3 linked regions of the Arabidopsis thaliana genome follow. The protein of the gene in region 3 interacts with the protein of the main gene of each other region in a pairwise test. Each region holds a gene or a part of one and is shown on either strand. Other genes may lie near its edges.

Evidence for each region.
Region 1: the proteins of AT3G03210 (region 3) and AT3G50120 interact in a protein complementation assay, tested with the Arabidopsis thaliana proteins (one large-scale study listed by BioGRID).
Region 2: the proteins of AT3G03210 (region 3) and AT5G16900 interact in a protein complementation assay, tested with the Arabidopsis thaliana proteins (one large-scale study listed by BioGRID).

What each region holds. Positions count from the first base shown.
Region 1 is NC_003074.8:18,584,445-18,589,362, forward strand, and holds AT3G50120 (transmembrane protein, putative (DUF247)), read right to left. Parts: upstream 2,909-4,918; 5' UTR 2,803-2,908; coding exon 2,162-2,802; intron 2,080-2,161; coding exon 1,550-2,079; intron 1,138-1,549; coding exon 713-1,137; 3' UTR 556-712; downstream 1-555. Other genes in the region: AT3G50123 (uncharacterized protein), read left to right, coding at 3,530-3,673; AT3G50130 (transmembrane protein, putative (DUF247)), read right to left, coding at 4,667-4,918.
Region 2 is NC_003076.8:5,553,300-5,560,600, reverse strand, and holds AT5G16900 (Leucine-rich repeat protein kinase family protein), read right to left. Parts: upstream 5,545-7,301; 5' UTR 5,525-5,544; intron 5,421-5,524; 5' UTR 5,348-5,420; coding exon 5,281-5,347; intron 5,167-5,280; coding exon 4,629-5,166; intron 4,499-4,628; exon of another isoform or gene 4,385-4,498; coding exon of another isoform or gene 4,338-4,384; coding exon 3,832-4,337; intron 3,482-3,831; coding exon 3,337-3,481; intron 3,253-3,336; coding exon 3,181-3,252; intron 2,854-3,180; coding exon 2,782-2,853; intron 2,695-2,781; coding exon 2,623-2,694; intron 2,552-2,622; coding exon 2,388-2,551; intron 2,289-2,387; coding exon 2,074-2,288; intron 1,968-2,073; coding exon 1,841-1,967; coding exon of another isoform or gene 1,808-1,840; exon of another isoform or gene 1,749-1,807; coding exon 1,683-1,748; intron 1,530-1,682; coding exon 1,340-1,529; intron 1,253-1,339; coding exon 886-1,252; 3' UTR 661-885; downstream 1-660. Other genes in the region: AT5G16890 (Exostosin family protein), read right to left, coding at 5,860-6,000, 6,329-6,397, 6,538-6,648, 6,777-6,915, 7,004-7,119.
Region 3 is NC_003074.8:738,582-742,810, reverse strand, and holds AT3G03210 (Pmr5/Cas1p GDSL/SGNH-like acyl-esterase family protein), read right to left. Parts: upstream 2,108-4,229; 5' UTR 1,825-2,107; coding exon 718-1,824; 3' UTR 502-717; downstream 1-501. Other genes in the region: EXPA13 (expansin A13), read left to right, coding at 1-156. UniProt on the Arabidopsis thaliana protein: Component of the plant cell wall polysaccharide acetylation pathway. Does not directly catalyze O-acetylation of xyloglucan but exhibits weak acetylesterase activity in vitro.

The sequences.
Region 1 (4,918 bases), about 18 Mb from region 3:
TTCCGTAGCGAAAAGAGATTCAATGGAGGAGGAAGAAGATTGGAGCTGATTCTGATTCAGAGCAGCAGCGTACGAAATTTCCGATGAACGTGCGGAGATTAACGATCAATTCCCGTTTTATCATCCCCCGCTCTTGCCGGTCAGAATTTTGTGTTTCGTTCATTGGGCCTATATGGTCACATTATGTTGAATCCTAGTTGGTCTGGGCCTTATAGATATCGAAAAGGCCCAGTTTTGGTAATCCAGTGGGCGTAAGTGCGTGACGTGTCAATGTAATCACAAACGATCTACATATCCTACTATATAATTTGGGAAATACATTTTAAATGTAATCTTAATTTTTGTAAGTAATTACATAGGGATGCCATTAGAAATAAAATTTTAAAGAGTAAATTAATTTATGTATTTAAGGATTAAAAAGTCAAATACTAATTTAATTAATTAAATTAATTAAAAAACGAAATACATTATTAATTTTCAAAAATAATAGCCAATCAAAATCAACATATAAGATTTGATATCTAAATTTTAATTAATTTAATTTAATTTCAATATGGATTAAATCTTTAATTTATTATTTTAATAAAATTTACAAGTTTTAATATATATTACTTTTAAAAATAAATCGTCCCGCGGTATACCACAAGTTAAAATCTAGTACATATGTATAATATAACACACAAAAAAATGCTTTGAAAAACAAGTTATAAGGTTAAGAAGGTGGCTTATAATAAGCGTAAACAGCGTAAAAACTTTGAGAGAAAGTGAGGACTAGTAGAATAACCGCAGCACAGAAAGAAACAATTGCCCATGGATTATTGAAGTACTTATGTTTCAACGTAGCCCTCCAAGCATTCCACTTATGATCGTAGTAACGATTAACCTCAATCGATAACCTAGATAAATAGCTATCTTCGGTGTCGAATACAACTTCTTGACATAAACGGTTGAACAAATCCGCGACTTCAGAATCGCTCCCTAGCCAATGTTCGATGATACCACAGTAGTGTAAGTAGCTAACATCTTCGTGAGAATCTATTAGATTGTCCATGAAGATTATGTAGGATGTTATATCATTGCTCGAATCGATATGACACTGCTCAAAAGCTATAAGATTCAGAAAAAGAGATTTGGTACCTACAAAAAAACATACGAGGATGGCTTTACTTATTATAAACATTTAGTTGTTTTGTTGAGAAAATGTATTTGTTTCATTATCTAAACTTTTTGCCAATCTGAAAACACATACTCTTTTCCATTGCTTAGATCATTCTGAATTAGTCAATTGATGACATTTCTTATATTCCAAAGTAGCATTTTTATGCAACATACCACATCAATACATCATGATTCCTACTAATATATTCTTTGTCAATCCATATAAACCAATACAAACGAGAAAATATCAATTTATATGGATTTGATGAATTAAAAAGGTGATGGATAAGAAAAAAAAACTGTAACATTTTACTCAAACAAAAGAAAAATAAATTGTAAACATATGGGGCATGTGTTAAAAAGAAGAAAAATGTGAAAAACGTGAACGTACCGTCATGGATAAGTAGCCTCGGTATTTCTAGATAACCGTTTTTGAATTGCATATCCCAAAACCGGTCGGTTTTCCTTCTTCTGAATTTTATACCAGCCTCTTTTAGTTCCGTCACACAATGTATCAATTGTTGCCGGCGCTTGTCCGCCACACGCGTGTTTCGAGACCATCTCTTTCTTGTTAACCTCGGCTCCGGTTTAGGACTAGACCGTAACAAACTACGACGGAAAACATCTAGACAATGCAGTTCACCCATATCAGCGAATGGGTCAAAGGATTTATCTCTTGCCAGTGAGTTCTCGAGTTTTGACTGGCCAGATTTAGTCAACGGCTCGTCCGTTGGCATTAGTGGATCAAAGAACCGAATTGCTAATTGTGCCACCAAACCGGTTTGGTTCCGTGTACCAAGCTGTAACTCTAATAACCGGTTTAGAACAAATAAAGGAAGTTGATTTTCAAGCATTACCATGTCACGTTGAATCGAATGCATCGATCCTCTCATCGCGAAAACTGGATCGTTACGTGCATATCTACACAAAACATTATTGTGACCGGTTTAACAATTATTTGAGAGAACCGGAAATAACCAGATATTGAAAAAATCAGGCTTACCCGAGTTCAGTGAATCCTTCAACGGCTCCTCTAAAGAGCTCAAGCACAAAACAACCATCAAGAACTAGCATTTCGATAAATTCGTTACTACTCAAACTTAAGGGACCTTCGTAACAAGCTCGAGCCTTTTCCTCTAGCTCTCTCATGGCGTCGATATACATTTTAATGCCTTGGTTCGTACGTTTCAAGACTCTATTGACAGCACGCCATTTGTGACGGTCCATAGACCGGAGCCGTTTCTTACCATGATGGTACGGACCAAGCGAGACTGTCTGAGGGAAATACGATTTGTTGTCGTTTTCTTGAAGGTAATATGGAACTCTGTAGATACAGAGCTTACCCCAGAGTGTTGTGTCATCATCTCTATGTGCTTGTTCGAGCTTGTCTGTGATCGAGATCACCCAATCGTCTCGTGAATCTTTTGGACTCTCTTTGATTACGTAGATAGCGGGATCGGATTGAGTTTGCTGGTTGTTATGAATGTTTTGATCTTGATCGGATCTGGTGATTTCGGGTAAACCGGGGAGGTTTTGATCTTGATTAACCAATACGGATTCTTGGTTTTGTGTTTCGAGTTTTTCGCGGATCTTAAGGGTGAGTAAGTACCAGCTCAACATGTCTTTGTAGAAGACAGCCACCATTTTTTTTGTTGCTTGAAGCTTTTTTAAGAAAATGAGGGAGTGAGAGAGAAGGAAGTATATGTGAATGATTTGAAGATATAATTGGTTACTTATTGTACTTATGGACCCAACTGATCTGTAATGACAACAACCATAATTAGATATTTATAAACACACACACACACATATTAATATCTTTGAAGAAAAAAGTAACAACTAAAAGTTTATATATCTTACCTAATTATTTTAACTACTAAAATATACAAATTAATTTGGAATCGTGCGGCTTAAAAGGGTAACATAGAATAGAAAATATGCATTTGTGTTCTATAATTTACCATATATCCGACCATTATCCATAGATAATAGAATTTTGATATACCCTTTCGTTTTGGTTTGAGTACGAATCCTTAACGCATCAAAGAAGGGTAAGGTCATTGCGCAACCATACTAGAAACGCTCGTATGGGGAATATGAGAGTCGTTGGACAAGATAAGATTATTTGTCTTGTCGAATTTGGGCAATTTTAAACGATAAAAGCACAAAATAAAATCTCTTCTTTAGTGGTTTTTTTCTTCTCCCTTTTTTCCTTTTTGCTCTTTGTGTCACATCTTGAAATTCACATTTCATCGTTGTTATTGATATTCTATGGGGTATTTGGTGCATTATGGTATTTTTCTTATATCTCGAGCAACAATTATTAATAAGAAAAATAGAAAATAAAAATATAGTGAGAGCATAACGGAACATGTACACTACACAGCTAGTGTGTGGAACATGGCACGACCTCACCATTTCTCGTATGGATGATGATTGCTCAACAAACTTTGAATCTATATTGGTTGACGGGTCACAGTTTTTTTTGTGCTTATTTTCATTAGCCAAACTCTAGGGTGTGGCCGAAGACTAATCTATGATGTAAAAGAGAATAGTAGAAAAGGTTTTCACATTAATTTTATCAACTGTAAGAAAAAGGTAAAAAAATGTTTCCTTCTTATTCCATGGAAAACCCAAAACACAAAAGTGAAATGAGAAGAAACTTTTTCTTTAGGTTAGAAATGTGGAAAATATTTCCTCTAGTGATCACTTCCCATTTTTTACTGTTTTATTCCTCTTGTTTTTCTTTCTTTGATTGCACCCAATCAAACCTTTATATGATTTTATTTAAATTACTGTAGTACATTCGACAAAAGTGAAATTGACTATCTAGACTCTTTAGTCTTAATACATCGAGTGTTATGGAGATTTTTCGTCATCTTGGAAAGTGAGTCAAACTTTGGAATATCCGTCAATAGACAATGGTCATTCTCATTAATGTTTTGGAACATTGTTGTAGTCTTAATTTCCGATAACATATTCAAATCTGAACATACCACATCATTGGCTGGAGACGTACTGGTGAATCAAAAGAAATTTTAAAGAGGTGTACAACTTAATATAACTATTTGGTAACCATATAGTGCTAAACTAGTGTAGAAATGCAATTACAAGTTTAAGCATCGATGGTAAACTAGTTTGGTTGTGACGACGGCAAAAATGTCTCTTGGGACGATATCGTTTTATCGACGTAATCTATATTTGTTCTGACCTGTCTCAGTGTCTCACCTCCTATGAAGCTAACTGTTAATATATATATGGCATCGTCCCCCCTAGACCTACCGAGTCACAGCGATACTTTCATGCTACCACAGACACCTTGTCATGATCAGATTCAAGACATGTGAACAATCAAAAATAAGATTAAATAAAAATGCTGGAAAATTTTAATTTTAGTTTCTGATTTTATTTTTGCAATACAATAGAAAATAAAATAAACAAAAATGCTCGAAAAAAAGTTACAAACATTCCAAGTTTAATGAAGGAAACTACTGAATAATAATGAAAATCAAGAAGGTGGGTTAAAATAAGGATAAGCAGTAAAGAAACTCTGAAATAACGTGAGAACTAGCAGGACAAGAGCAGCAAAAAAAGAGAAGTATGCCCAAGGATTATTGAAGTACTTGTGTTTTAAGATCGCCTTCAGAACATTCCACTTTCGGCTATAATTCCGATCAACTTTATTCGACAATTGTGACAAATAACTATTTTGGGGGTCGAAAGCCACTTCTTGACATAACCGGTTGAACAAATCCGCAAC
Region 2 (7,301 bases), on a different chromosome or scaffold from region 3:
TCTCTAATTTATTTGATCTCAGTTCAGTGATTTACAAGTGTTTATAGCAAACAGATACTGTAGAATCCAAGTTTTGAAAATAACTCAAGTGAATTTGAATTTTCTCGGGAAGTCGCAAGTTAAAAATATAATGGCATTAAGAAATGTAAGATTACGAAATCCTCTTATAATAAAGGGGAAATGGTTGTGATTAATGTCATTAATATATCGTTGTTTAGATTAATGTCATTAATATATCATGTTAGTATAAAGCAATTTTGTTTTTGGTATTTTGCAGAATAAAATATGGGAAAATAAAAAAGAATGTCGTAGGGAGGCGTTAATCTCGGGTATCAAAAAACGTGTAAGCACACTGAAAGAGACGATGAGGGTACTTTGGGGAATTTCAAAATAAGGAATGGGAATACGCGGTCGCAGGAGTATTTCTCACCTGTGAATACAAAATGTTTCTTTTTGGAATAATGAGATAACGTGTTACGTGTGTACGTAGCATTGATCAAAAATGTCAATATTTCATATCTATGGGAGTAACTACTACTAACCACGAATAATTCTCATTATACACGTAATAATGTCCCTGTCAACATTAATATTAAATATCTGACATATAGTATTTAATTTGTTGTTATTTTTGAAAATTTATGTGATGAGTGAATATTAATCCACGCTATTACACAAAACGAACCAACAACACACCCCATCGCAGACCAATATTATCAGCGGATCACGTCAAGCGGATCGGATTTGAAAACATCAATTGACTTAATTTGATTTATTATGTTTTGTTTGCAAGACACAAAACGAGAAATACATTTGGTCACAGATCAGAGATCACCACCGTGCATTTGGAGTCATTCCCGAACCAAAACTCTAGTCTTGGTCGTCCTAGGAACTTTTCGAGTCTATGACTTGGTTCAATCCTGTCCTCAGTCTCAGGTTTTCAGATTTGATACACTGTTTAAGCTCCTGAACAACATGTGACATGTCTGGTCTTGCAACCGGAGATGGATCCACACACGACATCGCTAGTTTAAGAGCTTTCCGCACAGAACCAGAATCATACTCGCCAATGAGGTTAGGATCAACAATGGTGCTAATATCACTTCTTGTAAGCATAGTCCTTACACGTTCTGCGATGTGTCGATTTTCGTTAGCTTGCTCAAGTACGGGTTGATTTGTGATTATCTCCAATAACACGATCCCAAAACTATAGACATCACTCTTTTCGGTCAAGCGATATGTTCTGTAATACCTACACAGACAATACATAACAAATCATGTTTCTTTAACCACTCGGAAATTATATTTGGAATGCACCCTGTTCTATATTGATGCTTACTCAGGATCTAAGTATCCAGGAGTGCCTACAACACCAGTCGACACATGGCTTTCCTCTCCAACAGAAAAAGATCTAGACAGTCCGAAATCCGCTAGTTTAGCTTGGAAGTGCTCATCCAACAGTATATTCATGCTTTTGACATCTCTGTGAACCATTAGTGGTTTGCATCCACTATGCAAGTACTCCAATCCTATATTGAAAGTTTCATTTATGTTTAACGTATCATCATAAGTTTGTAGGAGGGGAATTTACAAGGGGGATAAAATTGGACAAAATCAACTTCTTGAGAGGCTTTTTAGTATTGAAAACAGATTAGTTATGGAATGGACGAAATAACACTAACCTAGTGCGGTTTCAACAGCTATGCTTAATCTGTTTTCCCATTTTAAAACACAGTCCCCATGTTTTCCTGTAATAACCAGGAGATACATGTCTAATGAAGATAAGATGTTACTGTATAATTACCTGTCAAAACCACCAAACCATATTATTCATGTCTACCTGAAAGATGCGATTTTAAGTCTCCATTAGCCATGTACTCGTAGATGAGGGCTAAGTGTGCTTGTTCATCACAATATCCAACAAGGCTTACCAAATTTATGTGGTGAACTCTAAGGAGAAGTTCAACCTATCAACCATAAGGAAATCCATTCATCAATGATTATTTGAATCTCAAGGAGAAGCCATAATACCTTTGTAGTCAATTCCATGTTCAAAGTTTGTAGTAAAATCACCTCTGCTTTGAATTCTTTATAGCCTTGAGATGAGGACGGAGAGAGCACTTTAACAGCCACTTGCTCACTATCATTCAAATAACCATGATAGACGACCCCAAACCCTCCTTCACCAATAACTCTTTCAAAGTTATTTGTCATCAACAATATCTCTGAATATGTGATCCTTCGTTTTTTATTTTCCAGAGATAAATTAGCCCGTGACGGATGTAGAGCTGCATAAAAACATCAAGTAAAATATATAGCTAAATAACTTCTAGTAGCTTTTATTCCTGTTTTCTTATAATGTAACATATTTTCTTTATTAACATTACCTCTTATACTTGATGGCCTTTTCTTTATGAAAACAATAATGAGAACCAAAACAGCTATAAAAATGGCTATTGCAGCAGCAACAGGTGCTATGACTGTGGTTTCTTTATTTCCACTTGAACTGTTACACGGACCTGTGGCGCAAAGCTTTGGATTTCCTTCAAACCTACAGAATAAATAGAAATCATCTAAGGGCACAAGTAATAGTTGAAAGAATGTTACGTTTGAAGATCTTACTCCAACTTCAGATTTTTTCGGTCAAGAAGCGCTTGAGGAATGGAACCAACAAGATTGTTATTGCTTAGGTTTCTGTCATGGAAAAAGCTATTATCTCATGAAAATGCAAAGAATTTAGAGAAAACAGAAAGAGATAAGTTCACTTGTTTGAGGACTTACATGAACAACAGTGACTTCATGTTGGCTAGAAACTCAGGCACACCTCCGGTCAACTTGTTATTCGACAAGTCCCTACAGTTATGTTTATTAAATACGGAAAAGAAAAACAAATCACACTACTCTATATCCAATGAAGAAATTGAAATCTGCCTAATCATAGTCATTCATGTGTGAGGATGCAGAAACAAGGTTACATAGAAATAGTTTGTTGAAAAAACAGCGACTGATTTTATATTGGTAATGCAGATGTGCAGCCACATGTGCAGGAAATGATACTAGAAATTAAAAATAAACATCCAAAATTCTTGGTATATATAGTCAATAGAAGTACAAAAACCATACTAAACTTGAAAAACCTATTGATGCTCAAACAGCGCAGTTATTAGAGGCCATACTTACAGTTTCTGTAGCTGGGTCAGATTTTGTATATCTGGCACTATTTTCCCAGTTAATTTATGTGAGGACAGGTCTCTGGTCACATAACACATTTTAGCAGTAAGAAATCTAGAAACGTAACTAATTTATAACAACAATATCACACTTTTAAGTGCTTACAAGGAAATGATTCTTGGTGACGTAGACATGTTCATGTAGCTGCAGTTTAGGCCAGTCCACAAAAACTGCTGGGGAAGACACGGATCTCCTTGCCAGTCGACTCTGCTCAGTTCATAGGTAGCTTGGATAACCTTGATAGATATAACTGTCATAGAGTTAAAGATATACCATACTTAAAACATATTAAAAACAAGAATTAGGTAATATGTTCAAAACAAATTATTTCTTGTGGTTGATACTATGATGATTCCTCTTGATTAATTCTCGCATGAACTAATTTACATAACCTCATCATCATCACTCATGTCTCGTATGTGGACTACTGTTAGATAAAGTGCAATAATTTGGTTCACATTAACTTGCTTTACCATCTGTAGAAAATTAATATGATACTACAGAAAACTGGTCGAGCTAATGGAATAGCATTCCATATAATAGTTTGAGGCATATATCCCAAAATTTTAGTAAAAGTAGTTGAGATATATACGTACGTACCATCATCAGGATTTGTTTCAGAATGTGGAAACTTGATTGCAGTGAATGCCTCCATAGCATTAACCAGAGGTACACGTACTCCCGGAGACGCTTCGCTGCGTACCAGCTGCAAACTGCAGTTACCGCCATCGCATTTGTTCACCACAGTCTCTACAGTACTTACAGCCAAGTCTAAAGGAGTAATACTCTCATCATAACTAATCTTTCCATTCACCACAAAGTAAAAGGTCCTTGTAAATAAAGTTCTCAAGGCCTCGTCAGTGTTTTCCCCAACAGGTTCAAGCTCGGCAAAGTGAACATACAGGTGAATTTGCTCATCAGGGTTATCCAAAGTCCAAATAATGGTCAATCGCGTTCCATTGTCTCCAGGTGTGGCAGCTGATGTTAATGCTGCTTTTGGTGGCTCGTAGTTGTTAGAGTTATTCACATCTAAACTGGTAGTTATCTGCGTCCATTCCGGTAAGAAGAATGGGGACCAAACACGATCATAGACATCGTCAGGATACCTGCGGACATCAGAAAACACATCTACATGGATTGATAAACCATGCATCACTAATTCACCAGTTCACAAACAACTGGTCTATGAAAGACATTACGATCATTAAAAACAATTTCAATACGTCTATTATATAAGTCAAAGTTCATTGGTAAGAGCATTAATAGGAAACTTCCTGATGTTGGTCAGACATTTGAAGGTTTCTTGTATTGTCTTCATGCATCTATATATTGCTAAGTTTAGGGAAATTTTGTATATCAACATCAAATTACAGATTATGATATAGTGCAACACTTACCGGATTAACCGATCTGACTGTCTATAGTACCTCCGAAATAAATGCTTCAAGGAAACGTCTTGGACAACATAAGTATCGTTTCTCAAAAGCCTCAGTTCCAGGGCGGATATGAACGGCAAAGAATTACCTGTCTTGACAAGACAAATCTGCAGAGAGTTTGAACTTGGTATGTGAATAATCTCTTCAACACTGCCATTGACCTTTCCTTCCAAGTCAACTCTTACCCACTTATTAGGACCTAGATACAGATCAAAACTCGGATAATCATTATAACCATCGTAATTTCCATACACAAACACAGCTTTGATCATGTATCTTCGGTTCTGAAGGACATCTAGAGTATAGCAATTTCGTAGCCCATCTGGAAAGTATCTCAGAAACAAATACGGCTTTATGTGTACTGCTTCCAGATTCTTCTGGATTCTACCGCTTATTCCACTAGGGATGTGATCCGCATCCGATGAGAATACTAATCCGGTTACCGGTTCAATATATGGAGGCTCGTTACTCGGCAACCCGCAATCCAAACTGATGAATCCTGGTGAGAGGAAATATAGTTATGAATGATTGACTTTCATCCACGAAATATTGCTTTAGGTTAATCAGTAAACAGACAAAAGACGTGTGCAACAATGCAATAAAATGTGGTTACCTTGTTGAGCCTGAACATAATGTATAATGGCAAATATGAAAAAAAGATAACGATGACGATCCTCCATTTCTGCTACCTCAAAGAACCGCCAGTGTTCTGGTATATGAAGAAGTGCCTATGATCAACTCCTCTGATGGAGACTAATAAAAAACAGTTTTGTGAGGTCAACAATTAAAAGTGCCACCAAAGATATCTGAATCAAAATACATAAATAAAAGTAGCTCAAAATATTTTCTAACTCAACTTGAAAAACTTTAATGTTTGTAGATAATTTCTACAGGCTGGTGGTGAAAAATTCACCCATGTCTATATCATCTGCTAATACTTAAAACGTCGCAAGGGAATAAAATAACAAGCAGACAATGAGAGACCTTTAAATGACGTGAAGAGGACATACACAATTGTATAAAATGTTAGTTTCATAATATTTCCACGTAGCTAAAAGTAGCCAAGTTGCGAAGATGAACAGGAATTACATTATATAAAATAGCAAACAATGTTAAAATTGAATAGGATACACATTCCACAGTATATATCTAGGGTATTCAAGACTGGAATGTGAAGTCAGAGTGATCGGTCTTAAGACAAGAGAGAACTCAAAGAATTGGAGGCTGTAGAGTTGGATCTCCAGCAATCGCATCTGCAAATACTCCTAGATCCTTTCACGACCCGCTGTGACCTCCTCGTGTGAAGCTTGATATTCACCAGCTTTCCGGCTATCTGTCAACGCAACAAACACATCAAGATTTTCTGAATCTTAGATTTCGACATTGCAGTAAGTTCTTCTCACTGACTGATCAAAGATCAAGGCAAATACTTAATTAGACGATTAATGGATAAGCCGAACACACATGGTGCTGAACAATCAGGATAATTAAGGAAGAGACCTTGCCATTGTACAACACAAAAGGTGAAGTTTTTATACTCTGTTTTTTTTCACAATATCAAAATTAAGTTACCACATGTACATTCTGTCAGATATTATTAAGCTTTTGATTTCTTTTCCATCTTAGTTATAGAAAGGTATGTAAGTTTTGTAGGTACATACCATTCTCCATGTCAAGTCCTCTGGACCTAATGGCTGAGCAGGGCTCGAATATAGGAAATGGCGAGAGTACTGGAAAAGTTTAAAACAACCATATTACTTAATATATATAAAGATCCACTGCCCAAGTAAGGTTGCTATGCCCTTTCGTGTAAGGCGAACTATGCATTTTGTAACATCAAAGTTAGTGATAAGGAAAACTAAGTACTTACTTGAGCAAGATTATTCTGCAACCCCTTGACTTGGAAGGGCGTAAGACTTCTCAGATGGTTTACAAGCCACCCTGGCTGTATTGCATCACTGGAAGAAACAAGCACAGCAACCTGAAAGGTAAACAAAAGCAAAAGAAAAGAGAGCGAACAGTCATACAAACTTTGCTTCATATCTAAACTAATTCAGACAAAAAATGGTTATAATTCAGAGCACCAATGTAATACGTTTTCTAGCATACCTTCTTGTAATCAAGTATTCCTTCAAAAGGAAATTCCAACTCGTCACTGACTATAACAGGTATACAGCCACTGACAATGGCATCAAACAACCTCGCTGAAGATGGTGTGTCACCAGCAGGACACAAACAGAATAAAGATCTGATAGAAAGGCAGAAATAGTTAGAGAAAGTTGAAAGAAAAACTAAATGTGCTGCAACCAAATGGGTCAAGGAGCCACCCAATATACCTACGCATGCCACGTTGCGCTGCCAATTTTCCTCCCTCTCCGGCAGTCCCCTCAGAAATTATTATATCCTTGATACCACTTAATTCTGCACCAAGTTTGGCACGTATTTTACCCCCCTAATACAAATTCAGCAACCAAATCATGAGACACAAAATTATAAGAAAAGGCAAAGGTCGACTGAGAGCTTTCCCAGTATAATGAGGTATTCCAATTATTTTTATATAACAAACAAAGTATACCAACTATTATGGGAAATCCTAAAAGCCACCGACACAAGAAAAGGCAAGAGCATTTGATG
Region 3 (4,229 bases):
GGACAAAATTGGCATATTAATGCTGATCTCAGGAACCAAGCTCTCTCATTTGAAGTAACTTCTAGTGACAGGTCAACCGTGACATCTTACAATGTCTCCCCGAAAAACTGGAATTATGGACAGACCTTCGAAGGGAAACAATTCGAGACTCCGTGAGACAGAGACGGACACATTGAGATACAATCCCATGATTCTTTTTTTCCGGGTCAGAATTTTTTGATGGCAAGTATATCGATCTTGGTCTAAGGTTATCTTTAGGGTTGAAAAGGAAAGAACTTGGGTCAGACTTTTGCATTTCATAGTTCTCTCTCTCCCACGCATAGGTACAAAAACTCACCAATGTACTAAGAACAGTGATCACACAAACATCACTATTGTATCTATTTGTTTACATTACTAAGGAGCGAAAGCTTCCTTCAAGTGCTTAAAGCTAATGATGAGTACTGAGTCTTATCGTAAAAAGAATCCAAAAGGGTACTGTGATATAACAAGAATCAGAATAGCTAAAGGTTATAACTTCTCAAAGTCAAAAGATATTAAACCTATTATAGCCATGAATGTAAGTTCACTTACTTCTCCAATGTGAAGATCACTCAGGCCAAAAGGATCACCGTGTGTTGTAAAATTCCTATGAACATCCCACTTCTCTTAAAACTCTACAAGAGAACCCCAAACAAAATAAAAGGAAAAAAAACAAAAAAAAAACGTGTCAAGAACTCATAAAGATTGATGAGATTCAATAAGCAACGCATTGAGCATGACATGGACAGCGGCATCATAGACCGCAGAGTCATAATGCATCCCGTCAAGTGTACATTGCGGTCCACAGTTCCAGGTAAACGACTGGATATCAAGCAAGATAAGAGGACCACCCATTTGACGTAAGATCTTACTCTCCCCGAGTGATCTATCATACTCATGCCACACCGTATCACTCATCTTCTCCTTCTTCTCATCCGTATTCAACATCCCGTTGATCAAAACCGGCATCCCAATCCAGAACAGATGCACAGATCTACCGGAGACCGACCCACCTCCTTCTTGCTCCTTTGGCGTAAGGGGCACTAGAGACTCCACATGACTACTCAATTGCCTCAACCTAAAACCAAAATCTGAAGCATTGTTCACATGAAGCATATGCCATAACCCAGTTCCCATGATCACAACATCAGGATACTTTTTCATCTTCTTATAAGATACCACAAGATCATCCAAATCTTTCTCATAAGGAGCCCAAACAAAATCAAGCTTCATCCCAATCTCCTTAACCACAATGCTGTAATCACTATGTCTCCTAAACAAATCCCCTCTAACCGAATCCATAGCCTTGGAATCCGAACCCAAAACAAGATTCAACAAAGACAAAGCCACGAATCTCGCCTGAGAATCACCAGCAACAACAACCCACGATCCATTCAACAAATCCGAAACATCGAACTTATCCAATTTCTGAAACTCACAACTCAAAACTTTCCTCGATTTCATCCAATCCCAGTTCTTCACGAAATAATCAAGCTTTGTTGAGCCATTGTTCCTACGAACAGACTCCGGATTCGGTACCGGTTTAACATCCCAGACAATCTGATTAACCTCGTTGATACAAGAGATACGATGATCGTAGACAACAACAGAGGAAACAGAGGCAACGATGTCGGAAACGGAAGGGAAATAAGGCGTGAGATGAACACAAACCGCGAGAGAAATAAACAAAGCGCCACTAAAGAAGAGCATCTTGTTCCTGCTCAGATGCCAACCAGCCATTGCCATGGGAACGAAGAGGACGAAACAAGCTGCTAATACTCCCAAATGAATCGCTCCTAGCATCTCTCAGACTCAGATTTCGGAATCAGACACATCTAGATTTCCATCTAGACAAAACCAATTTCATCCAGATTCGAATTAACTCTTTTTCTCTATAATTTAAGAAGAAGCTAGGGTTACGGATTTGGTTCGGTGAAGAGAATCTATCAAAATTGAAGGTGAAGATGAAAATTTGGTGAGATTGAAAGGAACAGAACAACCGTAGGCTTCTTCTTCTTTGGTTCGATTTTTTGTATTTAAAATTTTCCATATTTGTAAGATCTCCATTAATTTATGATCTCATCTCTCTGACTCTCAGACATGGTTCGGCTCACTTTAGCCTCATTATGGAACTGGGAACTATTCTAACGTGCGCTCACCGCTGGGAATCACGTGACCGCTTTTAGATTAATCATAAGTTCCTCGGCCCACGGTCAAGCCCATTTATTCACGTGACCGCTTGTAGATTGATCATAAGTTACTCGGCCCACGGGAAAGCCCATTTAGCCCACATCGTTCAACAAATCAATGACACTTTCCTTATGTGTATTTTCATACGTACGATTTCATCTTGGAATGACATTAAATTCTGTAGATCCGCGTTTTCATCATATAATAAATGGAGAAAAAATCATTATAATCATTTAGACTTCTTTTTTTATAGCTAAAGTTACATGTAATTTCGTGATTTTTCTTCACGGTCTTAAGTCTTGGGGATCTTGTAGACTCCGAAATTTCATAATAGTTTCAACCGATTTTTACATATTAACTTTTAATTTATTACTTTCTCATTCTAACCAAATTTATATATTTTTGCCAATGAGGCAATGACCCAATCTAATGGTGGGGCTAATCATAGGACTAATATGTTATTAGTTTATAGAATGTGTGTGAACGTTAAAAAGAATTAAGTAAAGAACCAAAAGATGGATTCATGTGAGGGAAATGTCTCAAGAAGGGTATGTACTATGTACACATTGTAGATATATTAAAGATATATATATATGTGTATATATATGGTGATACAAAGAAGAAAGAGAATATGGAATTTGGAATAATGAGAGAAAAAGGTTATGACGATGATGAGAAAGGCTGAGAAGTGATTCTCTTGGGTTGGCCCATCAATAGCTTCCAAGGATTTATTCACATGTTCACAACTGCTGGATCCCACATGATCATACATATAACCATCTCAAAACCATATGCTTGTTCAAATTTTATATATATATATATATATATATATATATATCTGATCGATTTCATTTTTCCAAATTTTAGATAAGTTTTTTTTTGATAAATCAACTTTAGATAAGTTTTATAGTCGCCTACACCAAATGTGACTGTATGTTCATATGATTATATATAGCTTTCGAGTTTCGACCAAAATGATAAATACTCAAACTATAATTTCTTATATCCATAAGTCTTTGGAGTACGTAATTGGACTTTCGGTCAATAGTTTTTCTATATTGGAACAAAAGTTTTGGTATTTTATATGACGACACTAAATATGGAGAGGAAAGGATTTCTGGCCACTCAATTTTTTAATTTTTGTTTCAAAATCTCCGAAATTTCAATTTTTTTTCCCGAATCACACAACCTTACATTAACAGCCTAATACACTAGAAAATATATGAGCATTAACTGATGGAACGACCATAAAATGGAGTTCATCTTTCTATTCGATATACGATATACAATATGAATATGAGAAACAGAAATAGACATATATAAATGACAAAATAAAATGTAAAACACTACTAGTATAAATTTACAACATCAAGATATCTATTTTTAAAAAAGATCTATGTACGTAGATCGGATGGCAATGTGAAGGGAAACAAAGGATTCGCATGCAAGTGGGTACAAAAGAGACAGTTATTTCAGTTAGAAGTGCCGCCAAATAACAAAAAAAAAAAAGAAAAAAAAGAAAGAGAGATTGCAACAGTTTTGGGTTAACCCAAGATTCGATCTCCCATGCAACCAATAGAAATCTGACAAGTGCACATATATTCCAGACCGACCACTCTCGGAGAAGCATGGGATAATATAATTGATGAAGAAACACGGTTTACATTTAGGGCGGCAATTTTTGATTAATTATTCCGGTTAAGTACCAGAATCTACACGTGATCATGTTATTTGTTAGCATTTTAATTATCTATCAATATAAAAAAAACACTTCGAACAATATTATATATGCGTCGGACAGAAATTGATGAATTGTAAATATTAATTAAATTTTGAATTTTTTTAACATTATATGTTATTTTGGGATGGGGACCTTCCCTTTATTCACTTTTGCATCTCCCTTTTTCATTACCTCTTTATATATAACCTTGCTCTCCAAGCCCTCAACGAACACAAAACATATACCTATTCTATAATCTCTTCTTCTTCCTCTCGAGTCTCGATTCTCTCTCTTTCTT